Bombyx mori: one gene and its partner. The protein of the gene in region 2 purifies or fractionates together with the protein of the main gene of each other region. This does not show direct contact. Links are inferred from orthologs where the notes say so. Each region holds a gene or a part of one and is shown on either strand. Other genes may lie near its edges.

Region 1 (4,260 bases), on a different chromosome or scaffold from region 2:
TCAAGTCATAATGTTGACTCCCTATTTAAAGATATAAACCACGCAACCACCTTACAAACTAATTAACCCTAACGTTAAGAGGATCATACATTGAGCAGGTTCACTCGGTAGACCAACAGCTCAAAGTTATTGAGTTTCTTGTACATCATGATTTTCAAATTATTTTTTTTGTTTGGACATTAAAAAATCCTGCCAGTGTTTGCCATAACTATTGCTTTGTCTGAATGACTACTAATTTGTTGAGAGGTCTACCATTTCAAAAAGTCCCAAATTGAAGCTCAATTGGAAAAATAATCCACAAAGTGCAGTAAGAACATGAGAACAATCAATCATTCCATATATAAAAACATCATCTAATATTTTTATAAATCTATAAAAGTAACTTATATACTCACTTTGTAAAGTTTAGTCAAAGAGACCGAAGCCCATGTCATCGTCAGATTCAGAGTCTTCTTTCTTCTCCTCTTTCTTGTCCTCTGTAATTCAAAGTCGAAGGATTAGACAGAGAATTCAAAATTGGTATAATTTACTTCTGTTTTCAAAACATCAGATAATAAGAATGCAGCACTGTTTGATCAGTCGAAAGATGGTGTTGATTTGAAAATCATCACATTGAATTTTCTATTGCTAATAAAATTAATAGCGTTGGGACTTTATTTAATCTTTTAGTTACATAGATTACTTATTACATAACTATAGGCCAAGTTAAAAAAAAGGATTTTAATTACATTTGAAGCTAAATAAAATAGCTTAAAATTACTCATAGGTGTCATAGACCTGTAGTGTGGTCTAGAGACCACATTTGGTTATCAACATTGTCAGTCACAAATTATATTCCAGCGATTTTAATCAGAATATGCAACTGATTCTCCACCAAAATGAGTGAAATAGTACCTAATTACAGAAATTATCTACACAGTTTCAGTATTGAAATAGTCCTGTCATTAACGACGTTACATTTTTTATCTTGATTTTGAAATTACCTTTCTTCTCCTCAGCAGCAGCAGCAGCTGGGGCAGCTGCAGCAGCCGCTGCAGGTGCTCCGCCTCCTACTGGCATTGACGACAGCTTCTCACGTCCTAAGCACATAAACAACATCAGATATGCACAACAATCAACCTCTTTAGAGTTATAAAAAAGGAATATCAGAATAGTAGATAGCATCAAAGTCATTCAGACGAAAGATGGTGTTATTATTATTATTTCATCATTATAATCAATATAATCATATTACAACCACAATTAAGTTACAATTACAAGGTACTAGGTCACTAGTACTGAATCAGAAAGATCGTGGATTAGATGTAATTAATGGGAGTACATGATTTAGAAAATTCAGTGCTTATCATTGTCGTTTCTTTTGATATTGTTTTGTGTAGTTTTAATTTTCAGTTCTTTTAATAGATAGGTGGCAATAGCCCTACCTGGTAACTACCGGAACTAATGGATAGATATGAAATTATTACACCCACCTGTTGAAATCAGGGTGCTATTGTGTAGATTTTCATAAATCATTGATTGAATTAAGAAAACTCTTAGTTCCGCAGACTATTTTCTGTTTCTAACTTTAATGGCTAAAATATTCAAGGTAGGTAGAGTGCTTTTAATAACTATTAAACTTTAAGTAACCAAAATGTGAGGTCATTTGAATGCTTCTAATAAAATTAAAAATTACAATACAGGAATAAAATCCGTACCAAAATTAAATGTGAATGTGTGCTTGTTTGTCCTTATTTGAAATCGAAACGAAAGCATCAGATTAACTGGATTGTTTTTGACAGTATTGGGTCAGGAGTAAAATATGTTCTTTTTTTATCCCAAATAAACATATTATTCCCACGAGTAGCTACACTTACACTTTTTTTACTGTGACAACGCGGGCTAAGGTGCAAGTAACAACTATTACAGTTAGTATTCCGGTGGTACATTCTGCGAAGCACTGCTCTTGCTAGGGTCAGTGTTAGCGACACTCCGGTTTGAGCCCCGTGAGCTCACTTACACATGTTAGGGCGAAGCTGAAAAGGCCTCTCAAGGCTAACAGCATAGGTTTAAAAAAAAAGTAGTAAATTATATATTTGACTTACCGGCCGCAATAAGTTGTTCAACATCCTTGCCGTTGAGCTCAGTGATTACTTTCTTAAGCTTCTCAGCGTCAGCTTCGATACCGACGGAGCTGAGGATCTTCTCAACGTCAGCGGCAGCTGGCGTGGTCTTGCCACCCAGCACAGCCAGTAAATACGCGGCCACGTAACGCATTCTACAACACAATAGATTTTTAAACATATTATTGCTTAGAAAATAAGATTTGTAGTTGTATTTTTGTTGTACATCGTTAGAGCCTAAGAAGTTAATGGGTAGTTTGTCGTCTTTGACTATGTACGCTATTACTAATAAATAAATTAACTTATGGTGCAAAACTATGTTTATCTTCGTTTGATGGATTGGAGTATGCACGATAACCGTAAGTTAGTTTTACCTTTACATTCATACACAACATAACCTCAACAAAACTAAACAGCAAAGCCCGCGTTTTCAATCGTTTTAAATCACTATCAAGATCAAAGAATTCATACGATAATCAGGAAACGCACACCGCTCATATTAATTTCGTTAAAATAAAAACAGTATTTTGCTATTCAAACTTACTTTTAAGTCCTAATTGACACGAAACGTGTAATGCCGAAAGAATAACGTTCGTCTTGAACAAACGTCAACAAGTAAGAAAGAACGATCCACAAGGTTTCATTTGACAGTTACGTTGTCTATGACAGCGTAGCGATTTGGACCTGATTTTCAAAACAATCGATTCTTAAATCGATCTTTACAACAAAAAAACAGTGATTTTATTTGAAACTGTTTAAAATTGAGATTAGAATGGAGTAATACTTTTTCAAATAAAACGCAACTCTAAACAATTTACAATTATGTTGGAATCGAACATGTAGTTGTATATATGAATATAATACGAAGGAAACTGCTGGATTCGTATTAGTCGTGTAGCCATTATTAAGTTTTTATTAAGGATGAGAAATAATTCTTTTTCTAACTCTCTGAAGGCGTTCAACTAATTTTAAAATTATTTCATAATTCAATAAGAAACCAAAAAGCTTTTTTGTTTGTTAAATTGTTATGTGTTACGTTGACTGAAATTTAAATATTTGCGCCCTGATAAATTAACTCTTGTGTGATGTGAGTTATTGACTCGTGTGTAAGTAATTTAATGTTTTCCTGGTAAATAAAAGCTCAAACTGTTCGAATAAATTCTTCACCCGTCTCAAGCATAATTTTAATGTGAATCGGTTCAAATCGATTTAAAGATCAATCGTTTTTGGAAAGAATCAGCATTCCTAGTTCGTCAGCTGTCATTTCTCAAAACATATTTTTTTTATTCTTTTACCCATGTACAAGCAAAGGGCACATATTGCATACATCCAATCCAGTCAACATTTATTTTATCTGACAGTCATACGAAACCAGATCTGTTTACAGATGTTGAATACTCACTATTATTACAAATTTAAATGAGAACAAATTCAAAAAAGTACTATATCTTTTGTGTTCATTTTTAAAGCACTGATTTCTTTAATATTACTGGCCATACCAATTTTAGTAAAATCGACACTCAACGGCTCTAATAGAATATTATGTTATTGCAAAATGTAACGTTTTACAAATAGTTTCCCAGTTTACCAAAAGGTGCCACTATATGAAAATATTTTGTTAGGCCAGGGTTAGGCCTTTGATAATGCTAAAAAGTGAAAATGATTGTAGTAGGATGAAACTCATTATAAAAAGACGAGAATATAACAAAAATTAAAGGAAAAATAATTTACGGGTGATCTGAGGTCGAGAAGGGGGGGGGGGTGAGTTTTAAGGGTAAAAACGGTTTATCTCGATTTCCGGAAAAAACTACAATTCCTATGGAACAAAATTAAATGACAAAGTTGCAAATAATAAAAAGACCTACAACTTTTGTGATTACACTTTTTCATATAACCTCAAAATTTATGTGAAAAATTCAAGAAATCGTATTAATAGGTTGGGAAAAAAGACTTTTCGCATTGTAGTATGTATGAACTTGTAATAAAATCTCTTTGGCTATATTAATTGTATCTGGCTGGTTTTGCTATCATTAAAAGATTAAATATAAAGAGGATAATTACAAAATCAAATTAGGAAAATGTGTGATTTATATTTATTTTTCGTACTGTCAAGATGAGTGAATATAATGAAGAATTTCGATACATTTTAAAATTTTAT
Region 2 (2,911 bases):
TATTGTTCTAGTTAGTTTGAAGTTTCAAAAATGTTAGATCCTCAATATAGAATGAACATTCACAAAATTAAATTTTAAATGAGAACTATTTTTGGGTAATCAGTTTCTTTTCTGATTATACTTACTCGAGTGTTTTTCCCCAGTGTTAGTAGAAGCGAATGTATACATTTTGTTCTGTAACAATTTACAATTGATTAAGTATTTAGGAATACTTGTATCCTACATTTAAAAGAGTGCTGTTATTCAGTAATGTGGTGTTTTATAATCATATTTTGTTCATACGAACGAGACTATATTTAATAGATCATCACAGTAATCGTTTACAGAATTAATAAAAACTAATGATTAAAGTTATTACTCACTTGTAATACTGGACTGCCACTATTAACTGAAACAAAAAGAAAATTTAGTAAAAATAAAATACCACTGCTGCATTATGGTAACAAAACTCACCTACTACTGCATGGTTAGGACAGTACACAAGGATGTAACAATAACACAATAAATGAAGCTAAAAAGTAATTCTTTATTCTCTTCTTAAAATCTGTCTTAGTCACATAACCTGTCGCAGACACAAAAACAATTACTTCTTAGCTGGTTTTTTGGTCGCCTTCTTGGTGCGCACTTTTTTCGCAGCCGCTTTAGGGATATTTTTCTTGCCGAAGGTACCAGCACGCGCAGCCTTCACCTTCAAGCTCTTGAATACGGCAGTCCTGGCACGGTTCCTCTTAACTCGTGCAGCTGTTAACTTGAACCTATCGTAATCTGTCATTTGTGCGCGCTTCTCTTTGTTCGCTAACTTCTGGGCCCATTGACTTTCTGTCCATTTTTCATTGAGTTTAGCATCTGTCCACGCTTTCCTCACAAGACGAGTAGGGGCTGTGAACGCGTATTTGAGGCGGAATTTTGTGAGATGGAGTTGGTTTAAGCGGATCTGTTGCCTAGGTACTCCACTGCCGGGTCCATCAACCAGTGCACGAGTTTGGTCAATAACGTCTACCACGCTCACTAACTTTCCCTTTAAGGGACCGTCGGCTACCAGGGCGACACGCCCTGGTTCTACGTACCGTGCAAAAGGCATGACGTTCTGAAACAATTACATAAATTGTTACTTACATTACTAATTCTAACTTGTGCACTCAAACACTATCAACAAAAAATCACGTAAACATTTTGTGTACTTTTCGGTGGATTGTAGAAATATATTATACATTCAAAAGCTACCCAATATTTCTTTCTTTATTTAGTATTTAATTATCGAATTGAGTTTTATACAAGCATGATTTAAACAGATTATAATAATTTCTAACCTTACAACGTCTTAACACAAACAATGTACTCTCAAAAAGAATTTCCGGTGAGTTGTGTCTTGATGTGTCAAATTGACAGTAATAGTAGTTTTATTTTCCAACTGAAAAGGCAAAAGCATCATACCGTACCGCCTAATCTTTTATGTATAATATGAAACATGGCATGAAATCTACGAATAAGATTTATTATTTATTCGTAGCATGAAATAAAATGAGATCAGATGAGATGATTTGGGATGAAATATAATCTCAGTAAAATAGTGGTCATAAAATGAGACTTCTTCAGTTGACGTTTTGGAGGATCCCGAGAAGTTATGTCCAGCGGCTTTGTTTCATTTTCCCATATTTGTGCACTTTCACAGATAATAAGCAATTAATAAACCACCGTTATTATGCATTTAAACCTGAAGAAACTCTAAACAGATAAAATAAAACAAATCACACAACTTCACTCTTCGCGTTCCCGCCAAAAAGTCTGCCAAATTGCATTACTGACGTTTTTTCTGAAGGGTATGGAAATGCTCAGACGCGAGAAAAACACTTTTTATTAATATTATTTATTACTGCCGGCCACTCACATGCGGGCAATATTCATACATTGTACAAATGTTTGCGCGCATGTGAAGGGCCGTCAAACATTCATTCGCAAACTTAGCAGCTGTGCAAATGGGTTCGCATACTCAATTTGCGAACCCGTTTGCGCTTCCTTAAACACTTGTTTACGAATGTCTCACGAATTTCTCCTCCTTTTTAATTCGTCAATAGAATATTGAAGAGAAAAAGAGTTTTGAATTCTTTCCCAGACATCATTAACAGCCATGCTGTTTTATGGGATTCCTTTTGATGAAGATACGCTACACAGTAGACGTCACGAACTATGAAAATGGCGATACGTCCGTTACTTCGCAATCGTCGGCGCAACTGGGCAAGCGAATGTGTGGGAGACTACGCGAAGGTTCGAGGTTCGCGCGCTTTGATGTCTGTTAAAAAACCGACACAGCTTGGAAAACCACGAATGCAGCGAAAACTTTGCATAATCATTTGCAAATGTCGTCCTACACTTACGGGTTTGCGTATTCGTGCGCATGTGAGTGACCGTGTTATACAAGGTGAATGAAGTTAGCCCCTCAAAAAATTTTTTTTTCCTATTTTATACTTATTCTCTATTAATTCGTTTGTTCATCATTTGTTCATGATTGTTCACTGTTAATAATTGTTTGTTCTGCATTTATTTATTTAAAAAAATATTTAAAAATATACCTACAAGTTAGCCCCTCTAATGCAATTTTTTATATTTTTTCATCCTTAATGACTCGTAAATATTCATTTTCGATTGTTCTTATATAAAACACGTTTGTTCTCTTTCGAAATTACTCGTTTTTTGTTTAATTTACTATTTTTATTAGTTGAATAAATGTATGCAAAATATGTGTACTGCGCATGCGTCAACTATAATGCCTAAACTTTCTACGCGGTTTTAATCGTGAAAAAAAAAACAAATATAAATCCTGAAGGAGCAATTAATTGGTATACAGTTTAATTAAAAAAATTAAAAAATAAATAAATGAAATAATGTGCATTGGCGTTAAGTTAGACCAAAT

Evidence for each region. Proteins that work in one complex are often made in the same cells at the same time.
Region 1: the proteins of RpL14 (region 2) and RpLP2 fractionate together in Homo sapiens (co-fractionation; 3 studies listed by BioGRID and IntAct, with this or other methods). This does not show direct contact. The link is inferred for Bombyx mori from reciprocal best matches to the Homo sapiens genes RPL14 and RPLP2.

The regions. Positions count from the first base shown.
Region 1 is NC_085122.1:11,211,422-11,215,681, reverse strand, and holds RpLP2 (ribosomal protein P2), read right to left. Parts: upstream 2,807-4,260; 5' UTR 2,647-2,806; intron 2,258-2,646; 5' UTR 2,257-2,257; coding exon 2,085-2,256; intron 1,080-2,084; coding exon 958-1,079; intron 533-957; coding exon 527-532; 3' UTR 477-526; coding exon of another isoform or gene 406-476; 3' UTR 396-405; downstream 1-395. UniProt on the Homo sapiens protein: Plays an important role in the elongation step of protein synthesis.
Region 2 is NC_085117.1:13,508,915-13,511,825, reverse strand, and holds RpL14 (ribosomal protein L14), read right to left. Parts: upstream 1,350-2,911; 5' UTR 1,311-1,349; intron 1,301-1,310; exon of another isoform or gene 1,117-1,300; intron 1,088-1,116; 5' UTR 1,082-1,087; coding exon 584-1,081; 3' UTR 507-583; downstream 1-506.